3 linked regions of the Xenopus tropicalis genome follow. The protein of the gene in region 1 purifies or fractionates together with the protein of each later gene. This does not show direct contact. Links are inferred from orthologs where the notes say so. Each region holds a gene or a part of one and is shown on either strand. Other genes may lie near its edges. The genes, in order: cops7b, cul5 and cul4b.

Region 1 (3,652 bases):
TACATAAATGAATGATGCCATATTGTTTTTCTGTACTGGCAATAGTGAAACATTCACTTTACAGCCACTAAGGGTGATGTTGTATTTGTGTTAAACTTGAAAATTTCAGGACACCTTTTCAATCAGGCACTGCAGTTATAGCAGACAAGATAATCCAGTACAGAATATGCTCACTGTAGCATAGTTGGGACACCTAGGCTGCATACAGAGTGTTTCATTGCTACTACAGCAAACCCCATCTTCCATTCAGTGTGTTTTAGTTGTAGTAGCTGATAGGAGCCAATTATCAGGTAGCTTTTACTAGTGTACTTTTGGACTTGGACATTTGATTGTTTGAGTTTCTAGACCTGCAGCAAACATGCCTGTTATTACATTACTCTTTTTGTTTCCCTGATTGTATGCCCTTGAGAACAATTCATGAATTGGTCTGATCATTTGGCCCTTAAGCTCTTGAGCTTCACAGGCTACATGTACCTTCCAACAAAATTTAATGTCCACAGCTTTTAAAGGTACTCTTTAGATTTCTCAGTGTGACAACATAACTTAATATAATTTGAGGAACATGTGGTATAATTACATAGAAAATTGCGGACAGTTTTTTTTTATAGAGTCTTGGGCCTATGTGCTTATGAGAGGGATACCAGTTCTTTCATTTGATAGAGAAGAAAAAAATAAAGAATACTCATAAAAAAACAGCTGTAAACTTAAAATAGCTTAACAAACTGTTCATGTAAAAAGATCACCAGTTTCTTAACACCAAGCTGCTGGAGCTTTGTCAATCTCTTACAAAATGAAGTGCAATGGAAAAAGAAATTTATGAAACTTTAAATTTTGACTGGAGAGGACGTGACATTACATGATGTTTATATGGACACTGCTATTTTCCTTTGTTCTGTTAGCAAGGATTCAGCTTATGGCATTTATAACTTTTTCCATTTTTTTTCTGTCAGCTAAGTTCTTTTCCACTTTATGACTTTCACCAAACTAGTAAATCTGGTCCAGTAACTAAGCTGGGGAGGTAAGGGAGAGAGTGCAGGGAAGCACAGAGCTCTCTAGAGAGAACTAATTAGCTCTGTTTTTAAGTAGGGATTGTGCAGCAGGCTCCCGTGGTGGTCATGGTGCTATGTTGCTTGCCCTAGAGGCGTACAATATTCTAAGCATTTCTAAATGTGCCGTGTTTGCGTGTTCCAGCTCCGTGATGCTGATTGTCCAATTTAAGTTATAGAAGAAGATTTAAAGAACTTGCTTGTTTGAACTGTTGCTTTTTTTTTGCATATGCTTATACCATGTAAATAAAATTACAAATCACCAGTTGACATGTTTAAAGGGTTTATATCTATAATAAAATGTCAGTAATACAAGGAAATGAAAATGCAGAAAAGAATTTACCACATTATGACATATTACAAAAAGCAGCACAGAAAGAAGAACTCTGCTTTCTTTTGTATGATAAAGCTTTCTAAATATGCAATTATTTTTACTCAATTTAATGTAAAATTGCATGGGTATGTTCATTAATATTCTTAATGTTTCACTTAGTCTGCACTTCTTTATTTTTGCTAAATTATTTATTATGCAAATAAAGCATGATGTTTTCTATTTAAAGAGATAGTGGGAAATTTTTTTGGAATTAAAAGATTTTACTATGCAGTGCAATGGCACCATTAAGTTTTTCTGTAAATTAAGACTGACTAATTGTGTGTGTGTGTGTGTGTATATATATATATATATATATATATATATATATATGTATTATATATATATATATATATATATATATATATATTATATATATATATATATATATATATATATATATATATATATATTTATATTTTATATATATATATATATATATATACATACAAAAACAAAAGAGGAGCACACCCTATAAATAAAGCAAATGCCCTTGGTGCTGGTCAAACAATTTTGGTAGACAGACAGAGTACCGCACACAAAGGGACTTTATATAGAAAACAAAAATATTTATTGAAAAAAATCCGACGTTTCGAGCACCAAACTGTGCTCTTCCTCAGGGACAAACCAAAAGAAAAAATACATACACACCCCTTAAATACCCTACTGTGCAAAATGGCGCCAAAAAGTGCAGGTCATCACCATAGTAACCAATGTAAACAGATAAATACACAAAGTAAAAATCACAAATACAATACATGAACATAATTGCATATACAGCTGGTTACTAAAGGAAATCACAGACAAAAAGGAAATGAAACAAAAAGAATATGTGTAGCCGATGTGCAGAGTGAGAGTATCAATGTAGATAAGATACAATGTTATAGATCAGTGAAATGGGAGAGTCCCCACCAGAAGCAAGTGCACGTTGCCATTTAGAGCTGACCGAGAAGTAAAACAATAAATAGCTTACTGGGAAGCTTCCCCACCGCTTACATTGGTTACTATGGTGATGACCTGCACTTTTTGGCGCCATTTTGCACAGTAGGGTATTTAAGGGGTGTGTATGTATTTTTTCTTTTGGTTTGTCCCTGAGGAAGAGCACAGTTTGGTGCTCGAAACGTCGGATTTTTTTCAATAAATATTTTTGTTTTCTATATAAAGTCCCTTTGTGTGCGGTACTCTGTCTGTATATATATATATATATATATATATATATATATATAAATGTATTATATGACCTGAGTCTTTGGCAGTGGTAGCTTCAAAAATGTATTCTTTATGTCTCAGTGCATTCCTTACTCAGTTCTCTTGAAAGATCTGGAAATGAGGAACCTCAGGGAGCTGGAGGATCTTATCATAGAAGCTATTTATACAGACATTATTCAGGGCAAACTGGATCAGCGCAACCATGTGCTAGAGGTTGATTTCTGCATCGGACGGGACATTCCCAAAAAGGACATCAGTAGCATTGTCAAAACACTTCAAGAGTGGTAAGCACTTGTTCCTGATTTTATATAAGCGTGTAATAGAATACCTCTTTTTCCCTTTATTCAAGGTGGTGTTTTCAACAAGAGGGTGAAATTATCAGCCTAAACCTGTCCGTCCTGTGGATACCACAAATTTCGGTCCTGCCTGCACACCACTAGTTCACAATAGTTTTTTTTGTATATATGTATGTATAATCTTTATTTATAAAGCGCTACTTATGTATGCAGCGCTGTACAGTAGAACACATTAATACAAAGAGGGTTTTTTTTAAGATAATAGATAAATACAAAGTATAACAATAAATTCAAATAAATACAAGACACAGTTGCAATAAGTCAGACACAAGAGGATGGAGGTCCAAATATATTAAATTTTTTTGGGTGTCAAATGATCAGGTCAGCCTGATTTGGCCCACTACCTGAGTAGCCAATTGATATATTTATATAATCATTTTTTCATGTGGAGGTGCATTTCATTTAATGCTCTATTCATTGCTGCTTAAAGTGGATTTCATTTATAAAATTAGTTATTAGTGTGATAGACTAGGGTTTATTAATACAAAGAGGGTTTTTTTTCATGTGGAGGTGCATTTCATTTAATGCTCTATTCATTGCTGCTTGAAGTGGATTTCATTTATAAAATTAGTTATTAGTGTGATAGACTAGGGTTTATCAGTTTTTATTTTCATCTTCCCATGCTCATGTTGATCTTGTTACATTTACTAGCAAGATTACAAATAGGCTTA
Region 2 (4,232 bases), on another chromosome or scaffold:
TAACATGTAAGAGCCCAGTGGTGCCCATACAAGTAACATGTAAGAGCCCAGTGCTGCCCATACAAGTAACATTTAAGAGCCCAGTGCTGCCCATACAAGTAACATGTAAGAGCCCAGTGCTGCCCATACAAGTAACATGTAAGAGCCCAGTGGTGCCCATACAAGTAACATGTAAGAGCCCAGTGCTGCCCATACACCTCAGCCTGGCAGTATAGTTACACAAGTAACATGTAAGAGCCCAGTGCTGCCCATACACCTCAGCCTGGCAGTATAGTTACACAAGTAACATGTAAGAGCCCAGTGCTGCCCATACACCTCAGCCTGGCAGTATAGTTACACAAGTAACATGTAAGAGCCCAGTGGTGCCCATACACCTCAGCCTGGCAGTATAGTTACACAAGTAACATGTAAGAGCCCAGTGCTGCCCATACAAGTAACATGTAAGAGCCCAGTGGTGCCCATACACCTCAGCCTGGCAGTATAGTTACACAAGTAACATGTAAGAGCCCAGTGGTGCCCATACAAGTAACATGTAAGAGCCCAGTGGTGCCCATACAAGTAACATGTAAGAGCCCAGTGGTGCCCATACAAGTAACATGTAAGAGCCCAGTGCTGCCCATACAAGTAACATGTAAGAGCCCAGTGCTGCCCATACAAGTAACATGTAAGAGCCCAGTGGTGCCCATACAAGTAACATGTAAGAGCCCAGTGCTGCCCATACACCTCAGCCTGGCAGTACAGTTACACAAGTAACATGTAAGAGCCCAGTGGTGCCCATACACCTCAGCCTGGCAGTATAGTTACACAAGTAACATGTAAGAGCCCAGTGCTGCCCATACACCTCAGCCTGGCAGTATAGTTACACAAGTAACATGTAAGAGCCCAGTGCTGCCCATACAAGTAACATGTAAGAGCCCAGTGCTGCCCATACAAGTAACATGTAAGAGCCCAGTGGTGCCCATACACCTCAGCCTGGCAGTATAGTTACACAAGTAACATGTAAGAGCCCAGTGCTGCCCATACACCTCAGCCTGGCAGTATAGTTACACAAGTAACATGTAAGAGCCCAGTGCTGCCCATACAAGTAACATGTAAGAGCCCAGTGCTGCCCATACAAGTAACATGTAAGAGCCCAGTGCTGCCCATACAAGTAACATGTAAGAGCCCAGTGCTGCCCATACAAGTAACATGTAAGAGCCCAGTGCTGCCCATACACCTCAGCCTGGCAGTATAGTTACACAAGTAACATGTAAGAGCCCAGTGGTGCCCCACGTGACCCGGCGGCGGCGGAGCCGCTAATCTCGCGTTGGGCCTGAGATCTCGCGGGATCCGGCGGGAAGACAAGTTGAGGGAACATGGCGACGTCTAATTTGTTAAAGGTAAGAGGAGCCACCTCTCTGTACTGTCCGCTGCTCGTATGCCGTGGGAGGTCGGGACACACAGCCCAGCCCCACCCCGGTTCCGGCAGCCTTGGTTAGTAAGCCGGTCAGTGCGTGTCAGCCCCCCTGGCCGCTGCATTTGCCCATTACCGATCTTCCCATCCCCCGCATATCTGCACACCGGTAGCTGTGTGGGGATAGAAAGCTGCACACCCAATGGGTTATTGGGGGAGCGCAAAGCTGCCGCTTTCCTGCTGTGGCTGCTGCTTCCTACAGGGGGCGTTGCGTTGAGTATGTGAGCTTTGAGTTCCAGTCTAATGCAGTTATATAGGGGGGAGAGGGGGGTTTTCTTAGGTAGAGAGAAGTTTAAGGAGTTCAGGTAATTGATTTCAGAGATCACTGTGGGTGTGAGTTGTAGTTCACCAACAGCTAAATGTGGATATCTCTGATCTAAAATAGCTACCACTTGATTGACAGCTAAACACACCCCCAGGGGCCCCAGAGGTGGAGGGGCCCAAGCCTAATGTCTTCTGTTTTATGCCAACCTGGCCCCTGTGCAAATCCTGCGCTACCTCCTCTAAACTGGAGAGAGTTGGGTACAGGTAATAAGCAGGACTACTGGCCTCTGGGTGTTTCCTAACTGACAACACCAGCACTTGGATCAGAACGCACCAGCACTTGGATCAGAACGCACCAGCACTTGGATCAGAACGCACCAGCACTTGGATCAGAACGCACCAGCACTTGGATCAGAACGCACCAGCACTTGGATCAGAACGCACCAGCACTTGGATCAGAACGCAACCAGCACTTGGATCAGAACGCACCAGCACTTGGATCAGAACGCACCAGCACTTGGATCAGAACGCACCAGCACTTGGATCAGAACGCACCAGCACTTGGATCAGAACGCACCAGCACTTGGATCAGAACGCACCAGCACTTGGATCAGAACGCACCAGCACTTGGATCAGAACGCACCAGCACTTGGATCAGAACGCACCAGCACTTGGATCAGAACGCACCAGCACTTGGATCAGAACGCACCAGCACTTGGATCAGAACGCACCAGCACTTGGATCAGAACGCACCAGCACTTGGATCAGAACGCACCAGCACTTGGATCAGAACGCACCAGCACTTGGATCAGAACACACCAGCACTTGGATCAGGACCCCAAGCCAACCTGGATCTGAACAGCAGCCACCAACATCCCACTGACAGAATAATGCTGTTTGGGTGCTGGAAGCTGAACTTCAGCATCGTCTGGAGAGTGGGCTTGCCCTTTAATACTAGCCACGTATGGAATCCACATCCTGGTTTATTAGCAATTAATTTAGATGCTATATGATTTATGTGAAGCCATGCAGCATGCATCTAAAGCAGGAGTAGGGAACCTATGGCTCGAGCGCCAGATGCGGCTCTTTTGATGGATGCATCTGGCTCAGTGCCAAATCTTTAATAAAAAAAATAATGGGGGGCGTGGCCTGCACTCGGCGGATAGAAGGCGTGTTCTAAGCCATGTCCGGCATCCTTGGGACCCACCCTACCTTGCCCCGCAGCATCCGTGGCCAAACATATTGCATGGCTCTCACGGAATTACATTTTAAAATATGTGGTGTTTATGGCTCTCTCAGCCAAAAAGGTTCCCAACCCCTGGTCTAAAGTAATTGCTAAATAGCCATGCAGGATGTGGATTCAATTAGTGATACAGGAATTTATTATTATTATTAACATTTATTTATAAAGCGCCAACATATCCCGCAGCGCTGTACAATAAGTGGGTTACATACATTGGACATACAGAGTAACATATAAAGCATTCAATAACCGATACAAAAGGTGAAGAGAGCCCTGCCCAAAAGAGCTTACAATCTACAAGGAGAAAGGGTTGAAACACAAGGAATCAGTTCTTTGCAAACAATTTGCGGGGAAAATTCTCAAAATGCATTAAAGTCAACGGGCGGTTTTCCACAGATACAGCGCAACCTTTTTTTGTTTGTTTTATTGGTCTTTGGAGTCCGAGGTGGCTGTTTTTTTCATGGTGAAACCTGGCAAAAAGATTTTGCTCATCACTAGATTCAATATGAGCCCAGTACAGGTATGGGACCTGTTATTCAGAATGCTTGGGACCCGGGGTTTTCCAGATAAGGCATCTTTCCCTTAAGTCTGCTAAAAATCGATTAAATAAACCCAATAGGACTGGACCAATAAATTCTACCTGCTGATTGGTTGCTCCTGGGCAAACTTAGTGCATTACATAATCCCTAATAAGCCTAAAGGTTAGCCAAGCGAGCGGCTCTTCTCCCGATATCCCCCACCTACAGGTGGGCGAAATCGGGAGAATCCAGGCTAATTCGATCGTTTGGCCTTGGGGCCCTGATCCGACTAGATTTTATAACCTGCCCGATCGAGATCTGGCCGATTTCAGGCCAGATATCGGTCGGGCAGGCCCGTCGGTAGTGCCCATACACAGGCCGGGCCTAAATGGATGAGCTAATTTGTTCCACTATATTCTGCCCGTTGTATCAATTATTATTCATATCTGCATTTTGGCATAGTCACATTCCATTTCTCCTGCTGAATAGGGAGTACAAGGGAATGATGTGTGTCATTCCCTCCACACTGTGCGATAACAAGATGCTTTACTGGAAAACACGCGGCAAGTAACTTTCTAAAAGGACGGTTGCGACGACTAATCAAAGCATTGGGCAAATACTTTTAAGGCAAAATTATAAATAGCGTGCAAAGACAAAGTAAAAAAAAAAGGTCTAATTTCTGGTGTCCGTATGGCTTTAAGATGGCTTTACATGTATGAACACTGATCTTTTCTACAATCATATCTCCAAAATA
Region 3 (4,333 bases), on another chromosome or scaffold:
AAGTTACCTGAAGGGGCTTTTTGCCGCCTCCAGTAACTTGCCAGGCAATACAGCCTAATGTGAGTTTCTCAACTCGCCTCATGGCAGCAACGCCCGTGAGTTCTACAAACACCTAGCTTCAACATTATTTGGGTATATATAGTTTATATTTGTAAGTGTATAGATTGGTCTATATAGGTATGTGTATTTTTGTGCACTGGGGTTTTTAGAGATGTTGAACTTGATAGGCTTTGGGCTTTTGTCAACCCAAATTAGTTATTTAGTTATATGTAACATCTCTATTAAGCTTTACCAGATGATTCATAAGTGCTTTATGCAGTGACCAGTGCTTGCATATCTGTTAAAAAAAAAAAACAATTGAATAGGGTCAAGTGCTGAAACTAAGTATGAGCATACACCTTTTGGTGTGCTTAACATGTGTTGTTTTTGCTGGTGTTATAACTTGTATGCAGGCTCACAAGCACATAGAGAACCCAGAATAGCTGCTTTATAAAAAAAAAACACATTCAGCCATTGCTTTCAGTCAGAATCTGGTATACAGCTGCGTAATCCAATGGGAAGCCTTACTCTCCCAGAGATTATTATATCACCCAAATTGACCACTTTGTATGATATAAGTTTATTTTAATCTGGCACTTAAATGAATAGTGGGGTTAATATATGTACTTTTCATCCCTGCTATACACGCCATTATACATTGCTTTCAGACACAAACTTCATGTTTGACGCTTACTGAGTAGTAGTACTGAGTAGTTACTGAGGAGCTTCCACAAGGAACTCATTTTAAGCGGGAAGCGTCACACGCAACTACTGGCGCTCTCCTTTATGTAACTATTCTAAGCCTCTCCGGCCCCCACGCTGCTGAACAGGCGGTACCATGTGGAGGCATCAGGGGGAAATGTCACCCAAACCAAGCTGATTATTGGTCCTTATTCCCTTTAGGCGTCACTACAGAGGCGGGAATATTCAACCCTCGACTCCTCCCCCTCGAGTAGTTTCCAGCCTCAGCCCCTTCCTTCCCCTTGTCGGGACTCCTCGCCGGCACCAACCTAAGGCGGAAGCTCGGCGAGGAGAAAGGGGACGGATGAGGCCCGCACGGTCGGGCATTATGAAAGACCTCATCGCTAGTCCTTCCGGTCAGTCAAAACAAGGTACGAAGGTTGCCATGACATCACAGTAGAATAAAAAGGGGAGGGGAGAGAGGGAACACAGCCAGCCTTTCGCGCTATAGTTAATGCAGTAAGCGCTACCCCTTTGGTTTTGATAGTTTGGCAGCAGCTGGCGTCAAAGGCTCCCTGACTGTCCCGGCTGGGAAGGGGTGTGGGCTCACGGCAGCCTCCTGGGGAACTCTTCCCAACATGCACTGCGAGAGGAAGTGAGGCCATCTTTGGTTCCCTGCTCTTGTGACAATAAACAAGAAAAAGAGTGGGGATATCCGGAGAGCGGGGCCGGGGCCTTCACCGAGCAGAACTAAAGCAGAGTGCCTGCCGAGGGGGCCACTGGGAAGCGCTAACCAAAGGGCCACGTTAGCTGTTTGTTGCGGTCCCCACACGATCCAGCGGTCACACACAGTCTGGGCTGCCTTGAATCTTTTCTATTTGTGGTGTTTTCATGTTTCCCACAGGCTTATCAACCCCCAACCCCCCGGCGCAGGAGGTAAGGACTGAGGGAAACAGCACCTCCAAAAAGAGAAGGTTGAATATCAGCAGCAGCGATAAGGACGATTTGGACCCCCTGTCGCCCCCCAGAAACTCCTCTTCCTCCTCTAACCACATCCAAAAGAAGCTGCGTTTTGAAGACACTTTGGACTTTCTAGGACTCGATGTGAAGATGGCCGAGGAGTCTCCTTCTTCTTCCTGCTCATCCTCCTCTACTCCCCAGGCAGTGAGGAGTAAAAACCTGCTCATCTCCCCAGTGGGCGTTGGGCATCATGCCAATGGCCTCACAAAAGCCTCACCCGTGTCCAGTTTTGCCAACAGCAAGCCTGGCTCAGCCAAGAAGTTAGTCATCAAGAACTTTAAAGGTAAAGAGGGATGGCACCATTCAATCAGCTCTTTGATAGGTCACTTCAGGGAGTGTAATACTTTGACCAGAATGTGCTTAAGGACCAGGTGATTACAAGGGTGCTCTGGTCAAAATAAAATCTCCTTTAATTTGGAATTCAGAAACTAGCATGCTGTCTTGTGTCACCCAGTAGTTTGGGGCAAACGTTTGCCTGTTTGGTTTTTTCATGATGGTAAAATTACAGTTTCCTTTTGGCGTTATTTTATTATGGTTGAATCTATCTGGAATGGCAGTTTTGACTTCTAAGGGCTTGTGTATTGATGCACTCCTAACCAGCATAAAGCCAAAGTGTTTTAAGCTGGTAATGCTTGATTCTTTCTATAGGGATCCGCAATATTTTGGAGCACTTAGGGGATTTGATGCTTGTTACAAGCATTCCTGTTTGACCCAACCAGATCTGTGTGTCAATACTAAGAGCGCTACAGTTAAGGGATATCTTCAATGCAAAGGCAATCTTTTCTATTAAAAAAAAAATCTTTGTCACAACCGATCTAAGCTGCAGTGTCAATATTCCTGTGGGACTCATTGGCCAAAGCCATTTTTTTTTTTTTTTTTAGTATCTCATGGGACCAGTGCCAAAACACTGAAAATCTTTCTTCAATGTCCACTTCCAGAATAATTTGAAAGTGAACACTGTTTATTTTAGGCATTTGTCTACACACAACACACAAATCATGCTGGTGTTAGTGAAGCAACATTCAGGACTAAACTACACGGGAGCTTTTGTAGGATGGTTTCAGATCAACAGAAAGCATCCTTGCCCTTAGGGCTCTGGCACACGGGGAGATTAGTCGCCCGCGACTAATCTCCCTGAAATGCCATCCCACCTGTGTCTCGGGCATACGGGGTGGCGCGATTTCAATGAAATCGCGCAGGTTTCCTCTCGAGGCAACTTGCGCAATTTCACTGAAATCACGCCGCCAGCGATTTACATTTTCGCAGGTGGGATGGCAATCTGGGGAGATTAGTCGACCGCGAACAGGGAGTTTTGTTGTGGGCGACTAATTTCCCCATGTGCCAGAGCCCTTAGACAATCTGCTAAATAACTGTTAAGGTGATAACTGCAACACTTTACACAGATTTGTGAGGCTATTCACCATTTACTAACATGGCTAATCAGAATCAGGTCAGGCTGGTTCATTTTGGGCCCACACAGAAGTGTGTTTGTTGACATTTGCAAACAGATTGTTTAGTGGTATCAATGTGGCTTCTGGCCCTGATCTCTTTAGGGCTCTGGCACATGGGGAGATTAGTTGCCCGCGACAAATCTCCCTGTTCGCGGGCGACTAATTTCCCCGAAATGCCATCCCACCGGCGAAAATGTAAATCGGGATGGCGCGATTTCAGTGAAATCACGGATGTTTCCTCAAGGCAATTTCCGCGATTTCACTGAAATTGCCCTGCCGCATATGCCATCCCACTGGCGATTTACATTTTCGGGGAGATTAGTCGCCCGCGAACAGGGAGATTTGTCGCGGGCGACTAATCTCCCCGTGTGCCAGAGGCCTTAGTGCAAAGTGGGGGAATTTAATAATTTCTAAGAAATTTCTATCAGTTATTGGTGCATGAGCATTATGCAAACTGCAATGCATGTGCACCAGTTGCTAAGTGGGGGGGGGGTAAACTAGGCTGGTGCCTAGGATGGCACATGACCAATATACAGCCCTGGGTATGCCCATAATAAATTTATATATAAAGGTTTAGCTGATGCAGCTAAAATAAGGTAGAAACTCAGGAAATTGTGCTGTTAGTTTGCCTTTAAAAAGTAGTAATTGTATGTAAAAAAAAAAAATTACTCTGTTTTGGCAAAAGACCTTACCAGCCTCTTCATTTTTTTGTACAACTGGTATTAAGTGCTTGTGATTTTTTCTGATATACTAATAGTACAACTAATCCTATATCAAACAGACACAATGCACACCTAAATTGTAGTACTGTTTCATATACAGGCTTGAAGTAGAAATGAAGGAATTCTCGGCAAAAGAACTTGTCTGCTCATACAGTATAAAGGAGCATTGCCACATTTATTGGTAAACGGTGATACAAAGAGCAACAATACACTGTTTACTGTTTACAAAGGAGTATTATGTATGTCTATGTATTTGCAGTGGCAAACCTCTGCAGCACCAAGGGATACTTGCGTTTTTTTTTCTGGCTTTTTATAGAGTGGTTGTTTTTTTATTCTGGGGTAATGGGAAAAAAATGTATTAAGTACACCTGTCAATGCCATTGAGACACTTCTGTAACTGACTAGGAAGCATCTTCATTC

What was found.
Region 2: the proteins of cops7b (region 1) and cul5 purify together in Homo sapiens (affinity purification with mass spectrometry; 3 studies listed by BioGRID and IntAct, with this or other methods). This does not show direct contact. The link is inferred for Xenopus tropicalis from reciprocal best matches to the Homo sapiens genes COPS7B and CUL5.
Region 3: the proteins of cops7b (region 1) and cul4b purify together in Homo sapiens (affinity purification with mass spectrometry; 6 studies listed by BioGRID and IntAct, counting the BioPlex papers as one, with this or other methods). This does not show direct contact. The link is inferred for Xenopus tropicalis from reciprocal best matches to the Homo sapiens genes COPS7B and CUL4B.

The regions. Positions count from the first base shown.
Region 1 is NC_030681.2:101,198,411-101,202,062, forward strand, and holds part of cops7b (COP9 signalosome complex subunit 7b), read left to right. Parts: intron 1-2,706; coding exon 2,707-2,909; intron 2,910-3,652. UniProt on the Homo sapiens protein: Component of the COP9 signalosome complex (CSN), a complex involved in various cellular and developmental processes.
Region 2 is NC_030678.2:159,969,414-159,973,645, reverse strand, and holds the start of cul5 (cullin-5), read left to right. Parts: upstream 1-1,331; 5' UTR 1,332-1,355; coding exon 1,356-1,379; intron 1,380-4,232. UniProt on the Homo sapiens protein: Core component of multiple cullin-5-RING E3 ubiquitin-protein ligase complexes (ECS complexes, also named CRL5 complexes), which mediate the ubiquitination and subsequent proteasomal degradation of target proteins.
Region 3 is NC_030684.2:46,091,562-46,095,894, reverse strand, and holds the start of cul4b (cullin-4B), read left to right. Parts: upstream 1-1,419; 5' UTR 1,420-1,611; coding exon 1,612-2,023; intron 2,024-4,333.